Cricetulus griseus: one gene and its partners. The protein of the gene in region 1 purifies or fractionates together with the protein of each later gene. This does not show direct contact. Links are inferred from orthologs where the notes say so. Each region holds a gene or a part of one and is shown on either strand. Other genes may lie near its edges.

Region 1 (4,089 bases):
AGTCATTGTAGTTCACATCTTTACACCCTGAAAGAAAAAAGGGAAAAAAGAAAAAAGACACAACTTAAAATACAAAGAAAAATATTGGCCAATCTCCATTTAAAGCTCTAAAATGACTGGTGGCAAAACTAATATTCCAGGAACAAGTCATAAATTTCTTACAACAAGCCTTTAGGAGACAATCCCTCTCTAAATCTGGAAGACATCAACATCTCTTTCAATTGAACTGTTCTCCCAAAGTTCAATTAACAAAAGAAAAGTGTTAACAAGATTCGACATGTAAACAAAGAAAGGCGAAAGCCTTGCTTAAAAGGGAACTCTTGATCCTAATATCAAATTTCATCAGAAAGCTCTGAGCAAAAATATTAACAAAAACCATCTTCTTCCCCTACAGATCCCACATTTGCCATTCAATAAAAAAGGCCAGTAAAATAATTTCGGTTCTGTAAAATGGAACAGTGTCAAAAATTACTCAAGACAAATGTACCCTCAGAGCCATCAAAGAACTCATTTATGCCATCAGGAAAGTCACGAAACCAAAACAAACAGCTAACCCATTGTAGAGAAAAACTCAGCTACTGTTCCAACAACACAGAATCTATTTCAGTCTGCATAAAACATAACAAGCAAAATAAATCCAAGGTACAAGCAAAATGCCATCGCCTCCTCTTTTGTTTCAAGCACAATGTAACAAGGGCAGCCTGTCTGGGGCTCTGCTCCTACTGATACAGTATTGCTGCTTAAACCTCCCTCCTCAAGGTCACAGCCAATTTCAGCTCTGGAATAAAAGGCGGATAGTGGCAGCGATGGTTTGGGTTATCACTGGCAGAAAAGCAGAGTGTAAAAGTTTATGAGCTCATCAGGATTGTTGTACCATTACATCAGAGGCAATTATAAATGGCCAAGAGCAGAAGATGGGGAGCCAATCAGATCACAGATAGGATGTCAACCTAAGACCAACTGTCTCCTGGCTTTGACAGAAGGATTTTACCTCCATAATTCAAATCCCAAACCAAAGCAATCTGCACTTACTACTCCAATCACTCAGCTGTTTACCAGCACTTCCAGAGAGAAGCCCAGGCCACTGGGCCGGCTGAGACTAAGGCAAGAGGTGGCCCGGGCGGCCCAGGGCGAACCACAGTCGGCCTCAAGCTGCCCCCGAGCAGGCCCCAGCTCTCCCCCGAGGTCCCCCGAGCCCTAGGGGCCACTCTCTAAAAGCACATATCAGGGGACGGCCGAGAGGAAGGCAAGGGGGGGGGGGACAGAGGAGCGGCAGGCGAGCCAGAAAATGTTGCTTCTGTCTCCCGGGTTCCTGACACTGCCTACACCCCGAACCCGAAACCCCCAGCACCCCCGCGCCCGGGCCTGGCCCTTCCAGGCCCACTTGGCTCCGCACCCCCCTGGAGCCCCCCAGAGTTCGAAAGCACCCGCGGAGAGGGAGAAACCGGACAGACACCTCTGGAGAAGGCCCACACAAAGGCTGACGAAGGGAAGGAGAGGAAGGCAGACAGGCAGCCATTTTAAGAGAGAAGAGCCAGACAATGGCAGCTCCCCGGCAGCGGGGGCCCAGACCTGAGGGGAGCCCAGGGCCGGGGCCTGCTCCCCGCGGCCGCCACCCACCCGCCCCCGGCCCCGCTCGCCCCAGCCCCCTCCCCGCTCAGCTGTGTACCTGAGGGGTCCGGGCGAGCGGCTGCCCCCCGCCGCCGCTGCTCCCGGGGCTCATGGGCGCGTGGTGGCTCCTTTGTTGGGCCCCTCCCGAGGCGGCCGCTGCCGCCGCCGCCGCCGCCGCCGCCGCAGCCCCCCAGCACTGCGAGGCCATGTCCGCCGGGCCCTTGCCCGCGCCCCCGTCCTGGGGCCCGCCGCCGTAGTCGCCCCCGGGGTAGCCCTGGTAGCCCCGGGCCGAGCTGGGCGACGTGAGCAGTTGGTTGAGGGTGGGGGTGGCGGTGGGCTGGGGAGTTCCCCCGCCGGCCGCTGAGGGGCCGCCTCCCCCCATGGCCCCGAAGCGCTGCTGAGCGAAGGACGAAGACGACGAGGAGGCTGAGGCGCTGGAGGAGGGAGGCGGCTTGGAGCCGGCGGCCGCCGCGCCGGAGCCCGGAGTGCCACCTCTCGGGGAGCTCAGCGCGTAGGCCTGGGGGGGCGGGGGGTAGGCGCTGCGGTTGGGGTAGTAGGAGTTGTACTGGTGGTTGGGGAAGCCGTGGTCGTGCGAGTTCTGCTGGGGCCCGGCGTAGGGCTCCAGGCCCCCGCCGCCGCCGCTCTGCAGCGCTGCCAGGCCAGGGCTTTGTTGTCCGCCATGTTGTTGGTGGAAGACGGCGGCCGCGGCGGCGGCGACGGCAGACGGGCTCCGGCCGTAGGGCTGCCCGAAGCCGTAGGCTGGGGGCGGCAGGGCGGCCGCAGCGGAGTGAGGAGGCGCCCCCACCCCGTCGCTGCTGCCGCCGCCGCCGCCGCCGGGCGGCTCCGTGAGGTTATTGTTCAGGGCGGGCCTAGGCCCGTTCGAGTTCTTCAGGTCCGGCTCCGCGCCGGCCCCGCCGCCGCCACCGCCGCCACCGCCGGCTCCGCCGCCGCCGCCACCCCCATTGCTCTCGGCCCCGTCCTGCAGCTCCTTTCCCAGCGGCTGCGGCGGCCCCACAGCGGGGCCCTCGCTCTCCTGCCCGGCGGCTGCCTTCATTTCCCCGCGCTCGGCCGCTGCCGCTGCCGCCGCCGCCCCGCCGCCGCCACGCCTCGCCCCCCGCCTCCTCCGCTGCTGCTGCTGCTGCTGCTCGGCTTTCTTCAGCTCCGAGGGCGGCGGCGGCGGGTTGCCCAGGCTGCTGGGCGGCGGCGGGCGACCTGCGCGGCCATGATCCCCGCTGTCTCGTCCGCGGAGAGACCCGGCCCTGTCTTCGTCTTCTCCCCCTCCCACCCCGCCCGGGCCGAGTCCCCCGGGCTGCCCTCCCCACCCGCCCGGGCGGGCCTCGCGGGGCTCCGCTGCTGCGCTGTGCTGCGCTCGCTCGCTCCTCTCCCCCCGCCCCGCCGGCTCAGGCTCCGGGCTGGCGGCGGAGGAGGAGGAGGAGGCGGCGGCGGCGGCAGCCGAGGCGCCGGCGGCTCAGCTGCTCCCGGCTCTGTAGGCTCGGGACCCGGCTCTCCCGGCTCATTCCCCCCAAGCCCTTGCCTGGGAATGAGGGGGGCGGTGGAGGCTCCGCTCCCCAGGGCCTGGCCCCGCTGTGACTCTCCGCTTTCTGCTGCCGGAGAAAGGAGGGAGGGAGGGAGGGAGGGAGGCGAGGGGGAGGGCGGGAAGGGGGAGGGAGCGGGGGGAGGGGGGACCCGGACGGGCGGGCTGGAGGGCGCGCGGCAGCGGACGGGGCGCCGGGGCAGAGTAGGAAGGAGCGCGGCTCTGGCGGGCGCCCTGCCTCGCCTCCCCGGCCGCGGCTCGGGCCGAGGCTGCTGCGCGGCGGCGGCGGCGGCGGGCGGGCGAGCGAGGCGGGGCGGGCGGGCGGGCGGCGGCGGGACTGAGCGGCTAGAGCGCCCCACTCTCCTCCGAGTCCCCCTCACTCCGACACGAGGCTCAGCACTGCCATTTTACCCAGCGCCGTCGCGGCCGCCTGAAAAACCCGGAGTGGAGCGCGGAGCGGGCGCAGGCCGTGGAATGGACTCGCTCCCTTCCCCTCACAAAGGAGGAGGGGAGAGAACGAGCCGCGGCGGCGGCGGCGGCAAGCCCTCAGCCTCTTTCGCTCGGCAGCGCCGCCGCCGAAGGCTTCGGGGAAAACCCGGTCCGGAGCTGGCGCCTCCGGAGCCTGCGCCGCCTCTCTCGCGGCGTTCCCATCCTGGCCTGTCCCCTCCTGGCCGCCCCGAAGGGAGCCGGCCGCATGAACTTTACCCGCGCCTGCAAAATTGGCCTGAGCCCGAAACCGCGGCCGCCGCGGCCCGGGCCTGACCCCCCTGGCACAGGGCCTGGTCTCTTGGCTGCGACTTAGCACCTCTCCAGCACTTTTCTTCTTCAAAGCCTTTTGCAGACCTGCTGAGTGCGCCCTGCTTCTTACCCCTTTGGCTAGCCCCAAAGGAGGACTGACCATTGTTCAAACTATCCGTTCTCAGGTCCCTGCCCTCATTAGCCCG
Region 2 (4,001 bases), on another chromosome or scaffold:
AGCTCTCTACCACTGAGCTGCATCCTATCATTTCACATTAGCAAAGGTATCTGGAACAATCTAGACATGGTCCTGAGGCCCGCCCATGTCGTGGTGTTCTTGTCGGGGGAACGATTTCAGTGGTAACGGTTTGTATGGCCCCAGTGTCAAACTAAAGAACCAAAGGCTGCTGGGTGTTGGTGGCGCACGCCTTTAGTCCCAGCACTCAGGAGGCAGAGACAGGTGGATCTCTGAGTTTGAGACCAGCCTGGTCTACAGAGTGAGTTCCAGAACAGGCTCCACAGCCACAAAGAAACCCTGCCTCGAACCCCGCTCCACAAAACAAAACAAAACAAAACAAAACAAAACGAACCAAAGGCCATGTGGAGCCACTGAAAGAGATGAGGCAGAAAAATAATCATTTGAATTTGTGCTTCAGGAAAAGCTGTTCTGCAGCTGTGTGGAGACCACTAGGGACAGGCGGGGAGGCCAGAGCAGGCAGAGTAAGAAGTGAGAAGGCAGGGCCCGAGGCACAGAAATCAGCCACACTTGGGAAGCAGTACTGACCAGACAAAGGACCGACTATATGAAGAGAGAGGCTGAAGAGGGCTCAGGCCCAAGGTGTTGGCTCACTGGCTCTGTGAGTCTGGACATCTTTCTCTGGATGACGGGCTCCTCGTGTATAAAGAGCAATCGTAATAGGATCATCCTCCCATAAAGTGACAGTGAAGATTAAACGAGAAAACAAAAAACAAACGTTGAAGTGCTCAGAACACCTAGCGGGGAAGGGGCTTTGCTAGCCGTTACTCTACAGCTATTAATCTCTCTGATCATCAGAATCACTTATTCCCCCAACAAGTATTTCCTGAACATCTATTATGTATCCCACAGTACTCTGATGTTACAGTAATGAGCGAGATTGGCATGACTGACATGAGATGGTAACAGGAAAAGACAATAAGCAAGCAAAGAAATAAATATGCATAAAAATTTCAGATGGTGATGTGCTACCTACAAATCTAAGAAGCCAGAGGACTGAAACAGCAGCTAGATGTAATTTCTGCCAGGGTCAGGGAAGGTTGGGGGTGGGCAGGGCAGGATGGGGAGAAAGGACATGACAGAGGAACAAGAACAAGATGGTGGGTTCAACTTTGAAGAGGAGAGGGCTCCTGAGAGCCACCTGGTCCTACCTCTCTCTTGGCCCAACTGTGGGGGCTGAGTATCCTCTGTAATAGCTTCTGGGGGTCCAGTCGGGGACCCAGGACGGCTGGGCTGAGGAGTCCCCCCAGGGCTGGGCTCAGTGCCCTTCTGCAGTGAACCTTCTGAATGGAAACTCTGGTTGCTGTTCTCATCTGCTGAAGCAAAAGCCGAGTTGTTGGCCAGAGGGGCCCCAGTAGCTTCCTTACCTCCCCATTCCAAGATCTGTACATACCATTGAGGTCCAACAGGATGAGGGGGCCACCCCCTCTGGGACTGGTGCCCCTGCCGCGTCTCTCCCGGCCACGGGATCTCTCTGTCCCGCCTCCTGCCCGACGCCTCTCCTGAGGGTTAGAGTGGTAAGGTAAGAGCCCGTTGTCTGGTGAGCGCTTACAAATCTCAATATAAATAAGGAAACCTGGGCTCAGGGAAGCAAGAGGGGCTGTCTCAGGTTGTGTGGGCTGAGTTAGGTCTTGAACTCGGGGCGCGGGGGGGGGGGCGGGGCGCACTGGTGTGTGTGTGTGGTGTGTGTGTGTGTGTATGTGTGTATGTATGTATGTATGTATGTATTTGTGCGTGCGCGCGCGCGCATGTGTGTGTGCTAATAATCGTTACCATCTGCCTGAGTTCCACACTGGAGACTCCAAGCGACTTAAGGTGGAGGCCAAGGTGGGGAGGGAAATTGCCTGAGGTTGCACAGATGCAAGGTCTGTTGGGGGTTGGGCTTGCTCACCTCCTCCTGAGGATCCACCACAGGAACCCACTTGAAGATTCGAAGGGAAGTGTCACCCACAGTCACCCAGCGCTTCTCCCTGTGAGAGGGCAGGAGACCCGGTCAGGGAGGTGAAGGTTGAGCCCCATACAGCAGGGGGCCGGGGAGATGTGCTAGGGTAAGGGAAGCTTCGCTTTCAGGGCATAGAAGCAGAAAGAGCCCTGCAAAGCCCAGGACATAGACGGATATAACTTAGAGCTGCGGTTCTGCAGACACCTGGAGCACTCGGCAGGGCGCCACCAAGGCCTGGGCCAGGGACTCTGGCAAGGAAGACCCGGGGCCGAGCTTGCAAGAGTGTCAAAGCTCCAGGGGGCGGGGCATAGATGAGGGCTCCCGCTCTGGGAAAGCACCACTCCGGACCACGCTTTGTAGACCTCTGGGAATTGCCAGGGGAAGGGGGAGCCCAGTCGATTCAGAGCACAGCTGGTGGGCGGGGGCAGCTGGCCAGGAAAGGGCGGACGCTTTAGGAGGAGGTGGCTTGGCTGTGTCCCTGGCCCAGGGGCAGCGCTCACCATCTCCGGACCTTCTCGATGGTCGCCATCACCTTCTTGATGTCATCTTTGGCCCGGCTCCGGGTCTCGGCCCGCACGGTCCGGCCGGCCATGCTGGCGGGGCTGGGGCCGGGATAGAGCCCGTGGTGGGACGGCCTGCGGTCCGGCGATCTCAGGCTGCGCGCCAGGCCCCGGCGCCGCTCTTTCGGCCTGCCGTCCCTCCGGGAGTTGGCCGCGCCCTCCCTCGCTCCCCAACGCCTCCGCGCGTCCCCGCCTGGCTTCCTGCGACCGCGCCCCGCCCCGGCCCGTCCCCGGAGCGGCCCGGGCGGCGCGGGCGGCTAGAGCCCCGGCCTGGAAGCCCGGCCAGCCCCGCCCCGGCCCGGGCCCGCCCCTCGGGGCGCACGGACGCACAGCGCCCTCTGCCCGCCGCCGAGAGGGAGAGCTGGGGGGCAGCTGTGCGGCTGGACGCGCGCGGCCCGAGCGAGGCGGTGCGTTCCGGCCACGTGGGCACAGGGGTGCGCGAGAGGGACTGTCCTGGTGTGCGTCCGCGGCGGGTGGGCGTCCCTGAAATGCTGTGTGTGCGTGCGTCCGCCCTCTCCAGGCTGTTCGATCCTACGTTGCCCAACTTAACTTGTTCACCCGTTCATCCAAGTCTCATTAACAGCGCCAAGTGCGTGGCAGACTTTCGAGTGGGGAGCGGCCTCCTCAGCCAGAATGGCGGAAGTGGAAAAGACAGACCGTGTAGATGAGGTAGCAGAACACCTCGACATTCCTTCAGTCAGGGAGTGTCATTGGTAGAGATACTTTGGAAAACTGGCAGTTCTCCAGGGAAGCTAAACTTATGCCAACCCGGTCTCCCAGCAATTCCAGTCCCAAGCTGTCAACGCCCAACCGAAGAAATGGGTGCTGTCTAGTTTTTTGTCTACTCGACATAAGCTAGGGCCATCTGGGATGAAGGGACCTTGATTGAGAAAATGCCTCCATCGTGTTGCCCCATAGGTAAGTTTGTGGGGCATATTCTTGATTAATAATTGATGTGGGAAAGCCTAGACCACTGTGGGCAATGCCACCCCCTGAGCAGATGGGTCCTGGGTACTCTAAGAGAGCAGGCTGAGAAAGCCATGGGGAGCAAGCCAGTAAGCAGCGTTCCTTCATGGCCCCCATTTCAGTTCCTTCCTCCAGGTTCCTGCTTTTGAGTTCCTGCCGTGACTTCCGTTCACGATGGACTGTAACAGTTAACTGAAATAAACTCTTGCCTCCCTAAATTGCTTTTAATCATGGTGTTTATCACAGCAATGGAAACCTCACTAGGACAAAATGCTTCTATATGAACACCAAGACATGTGTACTGGTATACACATAACACCAACCGGGAAGCAACTCCTCAGCAGAATGGAATGAAAAACCAGTTACAACCTGTTTATACCATGGACACAGATATAACAGCCAGAATGATCAAAGTCCTGCTATGCCCAACAGTGGGGATGAGTCTTTTTTTTTTTTTTAAAGATTTTTATTTATTTATTTCTTATGTATACAGTCTTCTGCCTGTATGCCAGCAG
Region 3 (3,932 bases), on another chromosome or scaffold:
ATGAGCTCTAACCAACCAGGATTCTGAGTAAGGAGGCATGGAAAGCAGGCGGGAGTAGGTCTCTCTGGCTAATACCTACCACTAAAGCTATGCCAACAAGTCCTGATGTAGAATCTGATGGGGACCCTCACTGAGCATTCACAATAGACCACTGCATAGCTTAGTTTGTGCCCAGCAAATGAAAAGGACACACACCACACACAGCAACACTACAAGTACAGTCTGACTCGATTCAATGAGCAGTAATGACTGTAATTAAGGTACGAATGTGTTGGAAAGCACAGCACAGAAAGAGAGCAAGCTCACATTTGCTGCCTTTAGGAGGCAGCCACGTCCTTACCACACAGGAAAATTGGATAAACAAGGCTGAGTGCAGCAGCTCCTTTGTTTCTGCTGATGGGAATTGATACTGACACTGGAAGTCAAACGGAAGGAAGGACCAGCCCACGGGGCTAAAGGCTGTAAAGCCAGAGCAAGGAGATTGAGATGTCTGGTCAGGGCTCTTGCAGGTTAGGTGCAACTCTAGAAGGTGGAACAAGTGGTCTAGTAGGTAAGATGGCCAGAAATGAAATGTACGTACATACCAGAGCACACTCAAGGTATGTGTGTGTTTTAAGAGAGCAAAAGGGGAGAGTATACTTATAAAGTCAAGACTCCTGTGGCAAAAAAATTTCAAGCTTCTATTATTCTATGGACCTAAGGACATTCTATTTACCTAACTCATGAAGTTTTTAAAACTAGTTAGCAGCCATGTTTATTTTAGAGTAGTATTTATCCTAATAAGATCACCATAAAGACTATTTCAATTACGACATCATAGTTGAGAAAAACAGATCATTAAAATGGAAGTCTTCTCACAGGAAAAATGAAAGAAAAGATGAGCCAGTGGTCTTGCCCTCAATGTGTGATGTCAGCTGACAGAAGACTTAAGCACACAATAATAATAATAATAATAATAATAATAATAATAATAAATAGCACCAGAAGAGCATCTTTCAGGGTGAGAATGGTATGAGAAGCCCCTCTGTAAGGGGAAGCTCTGAGGAGGCACGTAATAGTGGTGGTCCACAGTCTTCTATACAACTGGGGAGAAGCACGCTGGCATCTCACTGACACTCAGGAACCAGTGGGCAGCCACCACTTAAAATCCATACCCCCCCCCCATGGGCTGGCAATTCCATTTTCTGGAAGACCATCTTTCAACACAAACAGTTCCATTAACATGTAATTCTGAAAGCTTAGGCAAACACATTCCTCTATAACAGTAAGCTTTCCAGGGGTAAAAGCAATGACCCTTTTTCCACGGGAAACTTGTCTACCCCCCTCCCCAATGGCATAGGGAAAGTCAACAAAGAAAAAGGCAGGGTAACAAAGAACTAACATCTGAGTCCAGAAGGAGAACTATAAAAATGTTAAATCAACAGCCTCATTTACGAATTGAGGGAGATGTCAGACTGAAGAGAGCTGGGGAAACTGGAGTGGGCAGATCAGAAATAAAGATAATCGTGCCGGGAGGAGGGGTGGCTGAAAGAAGCAGCAGGATAAAGCCAAAAGCAAGTTAAAAAAAAAAAAAAAAAGTCACAAGAGAAGGCACTTAGCTTAATGGAAGTGGGAAAGCATTTTCGAAGAAAAGGGCTCCAAGCGGCGGCGGGGGAGAAGCAACTTAACCTTAACGGGGGGAGGGGGCTCTTGCGACGACTGGGAGTCTGCCCACGACAAAGACGGGCGAGAGAAGCTGTGAAAAGTCCCCCAGAATAGTTCCCAAACCTTTACTTTGTCATTCAGAATCCAAAAGCTTTGACTGGACAGCTGAATACTTCAATTTTTCTCCCCTTCTATCACGCCCAACATGGCTATTAAAGAGAAGGTCATTTTTTAAGTCTAATGGGCATTAACCACCCCATTCCAAAAGTCGCTCAGATTCTTCTTCGAGGAGGAAGGAGGATGAAACACATCAAAACCCCAAACATCTGTAACTCACGGGAAGCGGCTAAGAGGCCAGTCCCCATTCCCAGTGTTTCCCAATAACCGTTAACTTCAGCACAATGGCATCTACGGTACAGAGAACGCCCACCTAGGGACTCCTGCTAGGAGATCAGGGGGGTTCCGGTCTGGTTCCCCGCTCCCCGGAGTTCTTTCCCTGCCGGATCTATCTACTCTTGGATCAATTCTTTCCAAGAACACTTAGTCTCCGGCACTCCGGATTTCCTAGTTAATGTCACCGGACTGCTCAAGTCTCGGGACCCCAGGGAGGGCGGTGGGCGGGGAAGGGACCGCGACCTCCAGGGCCGCTCGGCCTCGGCTGGCTCCGCGAAACTGACGCGTCTCCGGAGAGGGGCCGAGAACCGTGCGCCCCTCGGTCACAGCCCGTAGCTACGCTCGGGACTCGGCTCGCGAGGAGGACGCCCGTCAGGGGCTCCCGTGTGCCCCCTCCCGGCCTCCACAAGTTTCCTAAAGAAGCCTGGCGTCTTCTCCGGAGTCTTCTGTTGCCCTCCCTACCAGGAGTCGCACAGCAAGGACTTCCCGGGCACGTCCTTCCCTCTGTCTTGTCTCCTCCCGCACCCCCGTCTCTACTCCCAGGCCCCTCTGCATGACCTCTGGTCCGGGAGGGAGGGAAAAAAAAAGAAAGAAAGAAAGAAAGACCACTCACAGCTTCACTACATTCTCCACCACAGCCGCCATCTTCCCTGCTCCTCTCCCTCAGGCCGGGAGGCCCCGAAGCCCGCAACGCGCAGGCGCTAAGCCTACTCAGGGCACACAGTACTCGACTCTCTGCGCAGGCGCAACCGAGGGTGCGCGCACGCACTAGCCCACCCGCTCAAGAGCTGGGAACGAGCGCGAGGGAGCCCAATGCGCAGGCGCGGCTGGAGAGACGAACGCGCACGCTGCTTCTCCGTCTAGAGGATCCGCCTCCTCCGTTTAGCGGAGCCTCAGAGAGGGGGTCTGCCGTGGCTGGAAAGTGAGAAAGGTAGGCGAAAAGGCTACGGAGACAGGTGGCGACTGTTAGCCGCAAGGGAGCGGCAGTTAGTTGGGCAGTGAAAAGCCACTAGGTACCAGTGTTCCCAAACATCGACCCGTTTTAAAAGTGAACTCCCAGGGTAGGATGCTCGTTGGCCTGACTCCCGCGTTCTGGCAATTACCATACTTTCCTGGCAGTAATCCTCGTCCTTGAACTTCACTGGTACCTACCTCTTCTCTCTTAAAATAATAATAATGCTTTCCTTTAGTGTGTATGCTTCTCCGTGTGTGCGTGTATGTGCCGTGGTACATGTGTGGGGATCAGACAGCAATTTGCAGAGTCCGTTCTTTCCTTCCACTTTGTGGGTTTGGGGGTAGTCAAGGTTGTCAGGCTTGGTGGCAAGTGCCCTTAGCCGCTGAGACATCCCACCAACCCTTTGCTTGCTATATTCCTAAGCACATTCACACCAGTGAAAATTTCCAATGTGATGAATGTAGATAAATGGAGGAGGCAGATCCCTCAAATACCACAATCGAAATGAAGTCCTAAAATACAAAGAGGCATTATTGGACAGCCAACAATGTCAAGTGTCCCTATGGTACACTGTCTTTTAAATTTTTACTTGTATTTTTTGTTTTGGTTTTTGAGACGAAATTTCAAGCTGGACAATATGGTGCATCCTTTAATGTCAGCACTCAGGTGACAGAGGTAGGCAAGTCTCTGAGTTCAAGGCCAGCCTGGCCCACAGAGCTACACAGAGAAACCCTGTCTCAAAAAACAAACTAACTAAAAAAGATTTGTGTATATGTGTATATATGTATTCCATATGTGTTCTCTGGTAGAGCAGCAAATACTCTTAACCACTATCTCCAGCCCTCAGGTGTAATTTTCTTTTAATTTTTAAACTATGTTTTGTTTGCAGGTATGTCTGTGCACATGTGTGCTTGGTGCTAGGATGAGGCCAGAAGAGGGC
Region 4 (3,500 bases), on another chromosome or scaffold:
GGAGGGCAGTCTGGGGAGGCGTGTACCGTCAGGGAGCCCTGCTCACCCCTGAGCAAGGCCGCCCGTCAGGCAGGGAGGGCAGTCTGGGGAGGCGTGTACCGTCAGGGAGCCCTGCTCACCCCCGAGCAAGGCCGCCCGTCAGGGAGGGAGGGCAGTCTGGGGAGGCGTGTACCGTCAGGGAGCCCTGCCCTAGCACCCCCGAGCAAGGCCGCCCGTCAGGGAGGGAGGGCAGTCTGGGGAGGCGTGTACCGTCAGGGAGCCCTGCTCACCCCCGAGCAAGGCCGCCCGTCAGGGAGGGAGGGCAGTCTGGGGAGGCGTGTACCGTCAGGGAGCCCTGCCCTAGCACCCCCGAGCAGGGCCGCCCGTCAGGGAGGGCAGTCTGGGGAGGCGTGTACCGTCAGGCAGGGAGGGCAGTCTGGGGAGGCGTGTACCGTCGGGCAGGGAGGGCAGTCTGGGGAGGCGTGTACCGTCAGGCAGGGAGGGCAGTCTGGGGAGGCGTGTACCGTCAGGCAGGGAGGGCAGTCTGGGGAGGCGTGTACCGTCAGGCAGGGAGGGCAGTCTGGGGAGGCGTGTACCGTCAGGGAGCCCTGCTCACCCCCGAGCAAGGCCGCCCGTCAGGGAGGGAGGGCAGTCTGGGGAGGCGTGTACCGTCAGGGAGCCCTGCCCTAGCACCCCCGAGCAAGGCCGCCCGTCAGGGAGGGAGGGCAGTCTGGGGAGGCGTGTACCGTCAGGGAGCCCTGCTCACCCCCGAGCAAGGCCGCCCGTCAGGGAGGGAGGGCAGTCTGGGGAGGCGTGTACCGTCAGGGAGCCCTGCCCTAGCACCCCCGAGCAGGGCCGCCCGTCAGGGAGGGCAGTCTGGGGAGGCGTGTACCGTCAGGCAGGGAGGGCAGTCTGGGGAGGCGTGTACCGTCGGGCAGGGAGGGCAGTCTGGGGAGGCGTGTACCGTCAGGCAGGGAGGGCAGTCTGGGGAGGCGTGTACCGTCAGGCAGGGAGGGCAGTCTGGGGAGGCGTGTACCGTCAGGCAGGGAGGGCAGTCTGGGGAGGCGTGTACCGTCAGGCAGGGAGGGCAGTCTGGGGAGGCGTGTACCGTCAGGGGCTTCTTGATGGCCTCTTGGATCTCCATCCGCTTGCGAGCGATGGTCTGGTCCAGCTTCCTCTCAAAAGCCAAGAGGTCCATGTACGCCTGAGACTCTGGGACAAGCTCCCGGATCTGCAGATTGAGAAATGCAGCGGCTTGCTCCACCAGCTCCAGTTCTACAGTCCTTCCTCCCTTCCCCATTGCAGGATTGGGGAAGATGGCTCTGATGCTAGCCAGCCAGAGCTGGGCAGGCTTCCTAACACACTCACTCGCTGAGGTAGAACCTTATCTGCCATCTTCCTCCTCTTTAGCCTAGGAAGGAAACAGAAACCATTTAAGAGGTTAACAGTCCAAACTCTCCATCTTCAAAACCCTCTCCCAAATTGCCAAGAGTCTCCTTGGGGTCAAGGTAGAGGGAAACTGAACGCCAGAGATGAGCTAGCAAGGCACAAGAATGTCTTACCCTCGGCGCTGGGCAGGCATTGGGGGCTGGGCCTGAGGCACAAGCAGGCGTTTTCGGAATGGATCCATCATGGTAGGTGGCATGCCAGGTCGAAGCGGAGCAGCTGTGCCAAACGGGGAGCCAGCTGGAGGTCCCACCTGCAAGCCAGCCATGGGCATCCTGCTTCCTGGTGACATGCCAGGTCGCTGGGTAAAGTGGAACAGTGGGGGTGCACAGGTCAGTGGCAAAGCCCTACGAGGTCCATAGCCCATACCCTCCATCTCTCTCGAGCATGGGGAGACCTGCTGGAGACCAGGAACAAAGGGGAACAGGCGCCTGAGCCCAGCGTGTAAACCACACCTGCCCCGCCCCTGCAACCGCCCTGGCAGGCAGTGCCAACAAATGAGGCAGCCAGAGTCCATGGGTGGGAGGGGAGCACCACTTGCAGAAAGAAGGGCCTGGGGAATTTTTTAGGACTTATCACCCCTTCCCAGCTTCAATATGCCATGTCCTGCACCCTGGGGTGAGCCAGCTTTGAGCAATTTATTGTCTTTAGATGGGCCACTATATACTCCCTATTCCTTTCCCCATCCTGAAGAAAAAACATTACTTGGGTGATTAGGGGCAATGCATAGCAACCCAAGGGAGTACAGGAGTTATAACAGTCTGATGGGGTATGCATGTCTAGTGGCATGACTGGGGAAGAAAGGCAGTCAGTGGGGTGGCAAGCCATCAGGCAGCAGCACCCCAGGTGAGCAAGGACAATAGGATGGCTTGGCCATGTCACAGCTTGTGGAGATGGCCTCAGGAGAGTGCAGACACCATCTGGCCACCATATGGCCTCCACATAGCCGGGACCTGTCCTTCCCCCACCCTTCTCTCTCACACTCTTCCCTGCCACCATGCCCCTACCTATGTCAAAGGACTCCCAAAAGGGAAGTTATGGTTCTTGGGAGCCTGTGGGAATGAGAGCAGCAGACATCTGGATTCTGCCCATGGTCTAGGCACCACCTGGCAGCCAGGCTGCTGCTGGTTCAACTTAACCCTAGACATCCCAAGCTGCAGAATAAGACTGACCTGGGATGCAAGGGCTTAATAAGGGTCAACAGCAACAAGTAGCTTCTTGGTTTCTCATCCAAGGCCCTGTTCCCCAACATTTCTGGGAGCCCTCCACCTCCCAACTCCATTCACATGGCTGCTGCCTGAAAGGCCTGTTTGGCAGCTCTGCCTTGCACAGACTGTCCCTGGCAGCTTCACAGGGCTGGCCCCAGGGCCCAGGTTATGCAATCAATCAGTACAACCAGACAACCAGGCCAGCCTGGGTGGAGATTCACACCAAGTTAAAGGAGACCCCCCTCTCAGCATCCTGGAGATGAGTCTCTGCAATTTCTTTATCCAGCACTAAACCCATGTTCTCAACCACAGAAGGTCAGATTCATGACCAGTAGCAGAGACGGAGGGAAAGAAACATGACCCAGAGACAAGGAGCAGGGTGACAGGGAGGCATGTGGCAATTGAGGAGTTAAAAGTGGGAGACCCTGGGACCTCGGGAGTCCTGCCACAAGTCTCTCCTCATCAGGAAGAAATTCATCAAAGCTGTTGAAAGGCAAAAGCAGCCTGTTTCTCTGCCCTAATAAGCCAGAGCCAGAAATTAAAGGGGGGGGGAGGGTAGACAACAACTCAGGGTTGCCACAGCTGTAAGACCCTCCACCATCATCCAAGACTTCAGGTTTTCCTAGGGTAATTGCAGCTATAAGCTGGGGTGTTCAGTGCCCCCAAGCTCTTCACTGAAGTTCATAAAGCCTGTTCTACTGCTGAGCCCTCCAGGAAATCCCAAGTCGAAGCAGCCCAGGCAGGCCTGGAATAGGCCCCACCCAGACATCTGCTCCAGACTTCTGGGGCTCAGGCTCCAGGCCCCCAGCTCACCCAGAACCTCAGGGGAAGGCTGCTCACAATTCAAGTCCCAGTTCCCCCTGGCCA
Region 5 (4,015 bases), on another chromosome or scaffold:
CAATCAGAACAACTTTCAGGAGTCAGTTCTCTCTTTCCACAATGTGGGTTCTGGGAATTGAACTCTTGTCTTCAGGCTTGACTGCAAATGTATGTATGTATATATGTATATAGTTTGTTTGAGACAGGATTTCTCTGTGTAACATGCTTTGGAGCATGTCCTGGAACTCCTTCTGTAGACTAGGCTGGCCTCAAACTCACAGAGATCTGCCTTCATCTGCCTCCCAAATGCTGGGGTTAAAAGTGTGTGCCACCATCACCTGGCTACAAGTGCATTTACTAAGCTGTCTTGCTGACCTGATGTGTGGATTTGTTTATGTCTTATTTTTAAAGTATATACATACATACATACATGTACATACACATGTACACACACACATTCTATGTGGGAACTATGGAACAGCACTTGTCTAGCACTAAACAAAAACTAATTCCCTCAGGCCCAAGCAGGGAATTGAACTGAGGGTCAAAATTATGAGACTTCTGATTTATGGCATATTTTCCAATCCAGCACTCAGAATGGTTCTCTAACATAATTGTTTTAGTTTTTTGTTTATTTTGCTTTTCAAGACAGGGTTTCTCTATTCTAGATCTCACTCTATAGGCCCAGATGGCCTCAAACTCACAGAGGCCCACCTGCCTGTGCCTTGAGTGCTGGGATTAAAGGGGTGCACCACCACAACCTGGGTGTTTGATTTTATTTATTTATTTATTTATTTATTTATTTATTTATTTAGAGACAGGGTCTCACTATTTAGTCCTGGCTAGCCTGGAATTCCTTACATAAGCCAGGCTGGCCTTGAACTCACGGAGATCTGCCAGCTTCTGCCTCCCAAGTGCTGGGATTAAAGGAGTAGGCCACCATGCCGGACTACTGTTCTTATTTTTATTTTTCACATTAGGGCCATGTGATTGAAATGGTAAAATGATGTGCTTGGGGGGAAAGCCCATACATTTTGTTCTCATTCTCCGCTAGCTCTCTCTACCAGACCCCAGCACCGTCCCCAAACTTTAGGGGGTAACACAATCAATGCCGTCACAGAAGAAGTTCATGGCTGCAACCTGGAATAACTCCTTTCCTCAGTTTCCCCACCTGTGAAATGACTTGAGTTGGGCTAGTTCTTCTCCAGGCACTGGTTTGCTCACATTAGGTCATCTCTTTTCCCAGCATCCACCTGGGCAAGCATTTGCTCTGGTCCAGTCGGTTTAGCCTCAGCTGCCTACCTATCTGTCCCTATCCTAATTGACCGCAGTAGATTCTGCCACCTAGTTCTGTCCTGGGATCGGGAACAGCCCCTCAAAAGTCTTTCTGAGTTGGACCAGTCCAGTTTACCAGCTGCTCCCGGTCAGTAAACTGCGCTTCCACCAGGAGCCGTTTAAGATTAATTTGTGGTCCTGTGACCTACGCCAGCGAGCTTTATCCCCGACTGGGACAATTTATCTCCAAGGAAAAGGAAGCCTTGCGACAATGCCTACAGCCACCGGCCTCTGGCACCTTAAACTGCGACCCTAGTTTGATCATGGTGAGGCAGACGTCCTAGCTCGCACATTTCAACAAGGCAGCTAGCTGGCCAGAAACCGGCACCTCAACTCTTTCCAAGATCACGAGTCCGGAACCACCGCCTCCAACTCTGAGAAGTCAAGCGCCCGACAAGTAACTTGCACGATCGCACCCGAGGCCACCAACCCAAGGCCAGGGCACCCACGGCCTCCTGTCTGCCATCCCCAGGGTGTGTGTCTTGGGGGGAGGGGTTCCCACCACATCCGCGGCCTCCGGGGGAGTCGGCGCGCGGGCCAGTCCCGCGTGCTGGGAGGTCGCGGTCATCCCTGATCGTTTCCCTGGGTGAGGTCCCCGAGGCTCCCCGGGGAGGGCGGCGGCGCCCGGAGGCCGCACTAGTGGCGGCCGCGCCGCTCCCCCTCGCTCTGTGCAGCTGCCGCCCGGCGCTTGCGCACTGGGCCCCGGGCGCGCGGCGGCACCAGGCTTTGTGTGTGCGCGTATGTGTGTGAGTGTGTGTCTGTGCGCGAGTGAGAGAGCGGGCGAGTGTGGCGAGCAGGACCCGGCGGGCGCGCTCCCCCAGCCTCTCTCTCTCTCCTCTCTCTCTCCCTCCCCGCCAGAACCATGTCGGGCAGGTCGGTTCGAGCCGAGACCAGGAGCCGGGCCAAAGATGATATCAAGAGGGTCATGGCGGCTATCGAGAAAGTGCGCAAATGGTAAGCCGAGGCGCCTGCTCGCTCTCTCGCTCGCCCCGGCTCGCTGCACCGCGCCACGGCCGCTGGCTAGCCCGGACCCAGCTCACGGAACCGCGGGGCGCAGCGGCCCCGGGCCCGGAGTTGGCGAGGACGCGCGGCCCGGGTCACCTGCGCCCCGCGGGGGCTGCGTCCGCTGCCCAGGTGTGCTTGGCGCGGGGTCGCCCACCTGGCGGCGGCGGCGGCGGCGGCGGCGACAGCGGCAGCGGCGGCGAAGGCGACGGCGGCTGCAACCCGGAGCTCGGAGCTCGGGAGAGGGGGGTTCGCGGCCGGCCCCAGAAGCCATTTCGTTTTTTTGTGCAAGTCACATGAAAGCGGCTTCCCGCGCGCCGGGGCCGTGATGCCGGCGGTGGCGGCGGGCAGAGCGCGAGCTCCATTGTGCGGCGCGGAGCGGGCCGCCGTCTCCTCCCGGGGCGGCGCGGCGCCGGTGTCCCCCCAAAACACACACACACACACACACACACATACACACACACACCCCACGCCCCGACCCGACCCGCCCGCAGCTCCCCGCCTCCCGGGCCTCGGCGCCCTCGAGTCTGCGGAGTTTGCAGAGCGCGAGCCGTTTAAATTTAGCGCTTTGGGCAGCCTGGAGCGAGGGCTCCGGGCGAGGAAGGAAGATGGGGGCGAGCGCTGGGAAGGCGGTGGCGCGGCTGGCGAGCGGGGCACCCGCGGCTCCCACCCGCTCCGCGCGGCACCCGGAGCTCGGGGGACGCGATGTTTGCTGCCAGAAGCCAAGTCCTGGGCCGTGTCTGCCTTCTCCGAGCTGGAGCTGGTGTTTGTTTTGCGGAGAGAGCGAGCGACCGTTGTTTTTGTTCTCTGCACTGGGGGAGGAGGAGGGGACCGCGAGATTCGGTGTGGGCCGTGCGTGTTTTTCAAGCTCAAATTAGATCGTGCCCGGCGTGGCCTCGTTATAATTAGCAGGATGGAACATTTTCACGGGCCTCGTCGGGATCTGACTCCCAGGAGGCCCTAGAGGCCAGGCCGGAGGCGCCAGTAGTCCACCTCCAGGTTGGGTCAGACTTGTTGAAAACTCCCTGCTCCCCAATTTCAACTTTATTATGTCTTTTTTTTTTTTTTTTTCTCACGGCTTCATCAGGGTCCGAGAGGGAGACGAGCAGCCGCGAGGGTGCCCCTAAGTGTCAGCGGCCGTGGGCTGGTCCCGTCCTTTATAGGAACTGGCCAGGCCCCGCTGCAGGCTGTTTCTTTGGGGGGTGTCATTTCTTGAGTAACGCCGCTGTTGTTATTGCCTTTAAAAAAAAAAAAAAAACACTACTCGGGGGCCTGTCTCAGGTCTGGTGGTGTCACAAGTTAGCTGTCCTTTCAGAGTGAAACCCAACAAAAAAAAGGCAAGGAGAAAAATCAATAAAGTCCACGTGCTCCCGGGCCTCCTATGGAAAGGGCTGTCTTCGGATGGCCGGATGCCTGCCGTGGGCTGGGTTTGGCTCCAGTGGGACAAAGAATTTTCACAACCGTGAGAAGGGGAGGCTTTCCAAAGTTGAGATCCAAGTCCTGGGTGCCGGGAGCTCCCCTGCTGAGCAAGGCGCCCAGTGCCCAACTGGAGCCATTTAAAAATGGCAGAAACAGCTGCAGGCCAAAACACAGAGGAAAACAACACAGTGCCCCCTCTCCTGTGGGACTCTCAAGGGAAGGCTGAGGTGCCCCCCCTCCCCTGCCTCAGTCCTGGTGCAAAGAAAGAACTGATATCAGGGCGTGAGTCACTTCTGTCTGTCACCCTCCTGGAGGGTAGAAAGGGGCCGGTGTAAGCT
Region 6 (4,202 bases), about 200 Mb from region 1:
CTCTCTCTCTCTCTCTCTCTCTCTCTCTCTCTCTCTCTCTCACACACACACACACACACCCCTGAGTGCCCACCAGGTGCATGTGAGATCAGAGGACAACTCTGTGGCATTGGTTCTCTCCTTGAACCACAATGAGCCATCCTCCAGGCCCATGTTTTTGTTTTTGAATACAAAAACATTTAATTACCTATGCTATCTGTAACTACAATTTCCACTAGCTGAAAGTTGAGTCCCAATTGGTTCTGGAGCATTCTAATGCTTTGTAGGATGAAGGGAAAAAAATCTGTCCTTACCCAGACTGAAATACACACATCAATACAGCTGCCTAGGGACTTGAAGTAACTTCTTTTCTAACTGTATAATTTGTGATTCTCCAAAACAACACATAACAGTGTTCTCTATACATTTATTATATTTAATAGAATTTGAGTTTATAATATAAAATAAGGTATCTCAGAAAGTCTAAAAAACATAAGATACACTAGGCAGTGGTAGTACATGCCTTTAATCCCAGTGGTCAGAAGGCAGAGGCAGAGGCAGAAGCAGAGGCAGAGGCAGGCCGATCTCTGTGAGTTCCAGACCAGCCTGATCTACAGAGGTATTCAAGGACAACTAGCTCTGTTACACAGAGAAACCCTGTCTCAAAAAAAAACGAAACAAAACAAAACCTATAAGATACATAAATTATCATCTTATCATGGTAATAATCTAAGCAACCGTGGCTCTGAGGGTTAAATAATTCACCTCTACCAATGGTGCCTAACAAAGAAACCCACAGAAGACTGTTTTAGTGCCAGCATGCTGTCTCTAGCACGCCACCTAAGTTTGTAGGAGCTTTAAGATCAGGGTACTGCTGATCCTGAACCCACCTTTCATGATTTCATGAATAATCAGACGACAACACCAAAACCACCATCTCAATCATTCAATGTGATTTACAGTTAAAAACAAAGATCAATTGCTATTAATTGATATTTCCTGCACATTTATCATAATCTTCCATTACTAAGGGCAAACACTTCTCTAAGGTGTGCTTCATAAATATGATCACTAGATACCAAGAATATTTTTTTTTCTTTTTGAGACAGGGTTTCTCTGGCTGTCCTGGAACTCATTAAGTAGACCTGGCTGGCCTCAAATCCAGAGATCCATCAGCCTCTGCCTCCTGAGTGCCATCAGTTCAATACTCAAACCAAGGAAAGCATGACACATTAAACCACCCCAACCATCTGTCTGTCTCCCATCTAATACCAATGTCTGACACTGCAAACAAAACTTAAGCTGAAATACAGTTTTGAGAACTGGAGAGATGGCCCAGAGGGAGGACAAGAGCACTAAATACTCTTGCTGAAGTTTGGTTCCCAGTACCCACAATGCGACTCAAAACTGGCTGTTAACTCCGGTTCCAAACAATCTGATGCACATCACACACACACACACACACACACACACACACACACACACACACACACACTAAAGTTTTAGTCCATTTTTTCACTTCTCATCTGAGAATGAAAAATAACAAGTTAGCACCTTCTAGACCACTCGCGATAAATACCTAATAAGACACATAAGGAAAAACTCTACCGAGAAAAAAGAAAACGACACTTTCTAGAGTTCAAAAAGAAAGCGCCAATCTCTACAGAAACACTTCCTGCACGTGTGTAAGGAGACTGTTCAGCAGGCTACCACTAGAGAAAACAACTGCGTTTCCAGGCACTGCCAGGAGGGTTTCTTCAAAGAAAATAAAGCAACAGTTGGGCAAATGTCAAACGCCACACTACCAAGACCCTGACAGTAAACAGAACCCAGTGGCCATTAACCCACAAGTTTTCAAGGGTGTCCTGATTGGTACTACGAGTTGACTTTCTCTCCTAAACCTTGCTCCGGGGCAGGGAACAAGATGGAAATACTCCAGGCAAACTGTTAAACTTAACAAGCGACTTTTCAAAGTCTACCAAGCTGAGAACGAGAACAGTGCCTTGCTCTTAGACTCAGGCTCGGGGGATAATAAAGAACCTTTGTGTCCCCAGTTGGCAGTCCCAGGGCGGCGACTGGGGTGGCACTCTCCTCTAAGGACGCAGCTCCCAGCGCTTCTACCCTGACTCAATGCAAACGGCCCGCCCGTCGGTGTAGACGGCCTTAGACGGCCAACTCGGGGCGGCGGGGAGCAGGTTCGCCCTCCCGAACCACAGCGCCTGCCCTGCGCGCTCAGACGCATCTACGAGGAGCAGAGGGAGACGGATCGCGGGTGCTGCTCTGCGAATCCCCGTGCCCACTGGGTCCTTCCCCGCCTGACCCGAGCCTCTGCGGAAGGTTCCCAAGTTCTCCCGGGAGGGCCTCAACTCCGAGGAGTTTGCGGCGCAACACTCCGGGCTCCCGCTTCCGCGAGCGGGGTCCCGGCGGGGCGGGGCGACGCGGGAGTCTCGCGGGCCGCTCCCCTCCCGGCCCCGCCGAGCGCACGCACGCACCCCGCGGCGCGAGGCCACCCGGCCCGCGGGGAAACCGGGCGGCGGTTGCCGGCGCTTTTGTGCGGGCAGAGCAGGCGCCAAAGGGCTCCGCTGGCTTCCCGGCGCCCGCCCCCACCACCGCCGGGCCGCTCCCCCGCCTCGGCCCGCGCTCGGGCGCCTCTCCGAGCTCACCTTCTGGATGGCGGCGGGCGTGATCTCCCCCTTGCCCCGCTGCCTCGGGGCTGCGAACGCCACGGACATGTTGCCACCGAGCCCGCGATCGGCTAGTCCGGAGCGCTCCGGGGGCCACGGAGCTGGGGGCTCGGCGCCCGCCTCCCGGGCAGGTCCACCTCACCGCGCGCGGTGGGGGAGGACGCTCCGGGCCCGCGACCATCGCCGACACCGTCGGGCTGTGCGCGGAGCTGCCGCTCCCAGCCAGGCGTCTGGAAAGTTACTCGCTGCCAGGACGGCTGGAGCCCCGCGCCCGGTCGCCCCCCGCTCGGCTGTCTGTCCTCGCACGCTGTCGGGCTGCACCCCCGCATCCGCGCTCTGATGGTAGCGCCGCGCCGACCGCCTCCGCCCGGACGCTCAGGAAATGGTCCCGCCGCGGCGGGAGGGAGCCGCCCGGCCGCGCTGTCACAGGAAACGCGGGGCCCGCCCGCCAAACTGTCCCCAACTGCGCCCGCGACCCTCTGGGGAAGAGCGGCCGTCCTGGGTCTCCCGGGCTGCCGCCGAGAGGGAAAAGGGACAACTGGGACCCAGAAGCGTCTGCCGGCTCAGCACCGAGAACGCGGATTCGCTGGTTTAAATGGCTCCCTGCGCTCCACGTGCGCACCTCGGAGTAGCTCGCCAAGTCTCGCCGAACAGTTGAAAGGAACCCGACCCTCAGCTTACCTAGGGATAGTCCCTTCCCACACTTGTGGATCCACTTGATCTGACTTAGGGCCCTTCAAAGGAAGCTGTGAAAAGGCAACCTCTTTTCCAGTGAAATACTTAGTGCTTGTTAATTAGGCCCAAGCTGCCAGGCTTCAAGTCAGTATGAGGGAAATAAAACCAACAGCTGCAAATTAATACAGGAACCCGTTGCTACGGATTAATTCTTCAAACTTAGACTTCCCAATCACACAAAAGGAAGGTTAATATGCTGTGTTATTACTCAGTGATGCTCCAAAAATAGTGCCTAAATTGTTAATAAAATGGGAAAACGCATTTTTAAAGGCTATTTCAAATTTTCGCAGGTGAGTTTAATTCATCCAACGATTCTGAGTACCAATCCTGCTGTTTGGAAGTGCTGGTGGTAGAAATGAACAACTGGACAGGAATCTCTCAAGGATATTACTCTGTTATAGAAAAGACAACAGAAACAAAGTGTGTGTGTGTGTGTGTAACGTTTAACAATTAGCAAACAAGGACAGAACTACAGGGCTGTTGGTGTGATTGAAGGTGGAAACCCGGTTTTATTTAAAGAGATCTACAGAAAGGGCTGGAGAGATAGCTTAGCTGTTAAGAGCACTGGCTGCTCTTGCAGAGGACCAGGGTTCAATTCCAAGTACACAACTAACTCCAGTTCCAGGGCATTGACACCAATTCAATGCACACAAAATAAAAGTTAAGTAAATTAAAAAAAAAAAAAAAGCTCCTCAGAGAACTCCATTTTGGAAAGGGAGGGAGGGAGGAATATATATATATATATATTATATATATATATAATATATTATATATAATATAGAGAGAGAGAGAGAGAGAGAGAGA

The links.
Region 2: the proteins of Arid1a (region 1) and Bcl7c purify together in Homo sapiens (affinity purification with mass spectrometry; 5 studies listed by BioGRID and IntAct, counting the BioPlex papers as one, with this or other methods). This does not show direct contact. The link is inferred for Cricetulus griseus from reciprocal best matches to the Homo sapiens genes ARID1A and BCL7C.
Region 3: the proteins of Arid1a (region 1) and Dpf2 purify together in Homo sapiens (affinity purification with mass spectrometry; 6 studies listed by BioGRID and IntAct, counting the BioPlex papers as one, with this or other methods). This does not show direct contact. The link is inferred for Cricetulus griseus from reciprocal best matches to the Homo sapiens genes ARID1A and DPF2.
Region 4: the proteins of Arid1a (region 1) and Smarcd2 purify together in Homo sapiens (affinity purification with mass spectrometry; 7 studies listed by BioGRID and IntAct, with this or other methods). This does not show direct contact. The link is inferred for Cricetulus griseus from reciprocal best matches to the Homo sapiens genes ARID1A and SMARCD2.
Region 5: the proteins of Arid1a (region 1) and Bcl7a purify together in Homo sapiens (affinity purification with mass spectrometry; 5 studies listed by BioGRID and IntAct, counting the BioPlex papers as one, with this or other methods). This does not show direct contact. The link is inferred for Cricetulus griseus from reciprocal best matches to the Homo sapiens genes ARID1A and BCL7A.
Region 6: the proteins of Arid1a (region 1) and Ss18 purify together in Homo sapiens (affinity purification with mass spectrometry; 7 studies listed by BioGRID and IntAct, counting the BioPlex papers as one, with this or other methods). This does not show direct contact. The link is inferred for Cricetulus griseus from reciprocal best matches to the Homo sapiens genes ARID1A and SS18.

The regions. Positions count from the first base shown.
Region 1 is NC_048595.1:19,515,206-19,519,294, reverse strand, and holds the start of Arid1a (AT-rich interactive domain-containing protein 1A), read right to left. Parts: upstream 2,801-4,089; 5' UTR 2,666-2,800; coding exon 1,670-2,665; intron 1-1,669. UniProt on the Homo sapiens protein: Involved in transcriptional activation and repression of select genes by chromatin remodeling (alteration of DNA-nucleosome topology).
Region 2 is NC_048596.1:73,057,040-73,061,040, reverse strand, and holds the start of Bcl7c (B-cell CLL/lymphoma 7 protein family member C), read right to left. Parts: upstream 2,801-4,001; 5' UTR 2,553-2,800; coding exon 2,461-2,552; intron 1,989-2,460; coding exon 1,910-1,988; intron 1,521-1,909; coding exon 1,412-1,520; intron 1,335-1,411; coding exon 1,170-1,334; intron 1-1,169. UniProt on the Homo sapiens protein: May play an anti-apoptotic role.
Region 3 is NC_048596.1:53,430,647-53,434,578, reverse strand, and holds the start of Dpf2 (zinc finger protein ubi-d4), read right to left. Parts: upstream 2,801-3,932; 5' UTR 2,683-2,800; coding exon 2,651-2,682; intron 1-2,650. UniProt on the Homo sapiens protein: Plays an active role in transcriptional regulation by binding modified histones H3 and H4. Is a negative regulator of myeloid differentiation of hematopoietic progenitor cells. Might also have a role in the development and maturation of lymphoid cells.
Region 4 is NC_048600.1:119,215,488-119,218,987, forward strand, and holds part of Smarcd2 (SWI/SNF-related matrix-associated actin-dependent regulator of chromatin subfamily D member 2), read right to left. Parts: intron 1,727-3,500; coding exon 1,542-1,726; intron 1,391-1,541; coding exon 1,348-1,390; intron 1,211-1,347; coding exon 1,088-1,210; intron 1-1,087. UniProt on the Homo sapiens protein: Involved in transcriptional activation and repression of select genes by chromatin remodeling (alteration of DNA-nucleosome topology).
Region 5 is NC_048597.1:103,112,820-103,116,834, forward strand, and holds the start of Bcl7a (B-cell CLL/lymphoma 7 protein family member A), read left to right. Parts: upstream 1-1,215; 5' UTR 1,216-1,729; intron 1,730-1,756; exon of another isoform or gene 1,757-1,842; intron 1,843-1,956; exon of another isoform or gene 1,957-1,994; intron 1,995-2,000; exon of another isoform or gene 2,001-2,114; 5' UTR 2,115-2,118; coding exon 2,119-2,210; intron 2,211-4,015.
Region 6 is NC_048595.1:221,684,216-221,688,417, reverse strand, and holds the start of Ss18 (protein SSXT), read right to left. Parts: upstream 2,801-4,202; 5' UTR 2,712-2,800; coding exon 2,643-2,711; intron 1-2,642. UniProt on the Homo sapiens protein: Appears to function synergistically with RBM14 as a transcriptional coactivator. Isoform 1 and isoform 2 function in nuclear receptor coactivation. Isoform 1 and isoform 2 function in general transcriptional coactivation.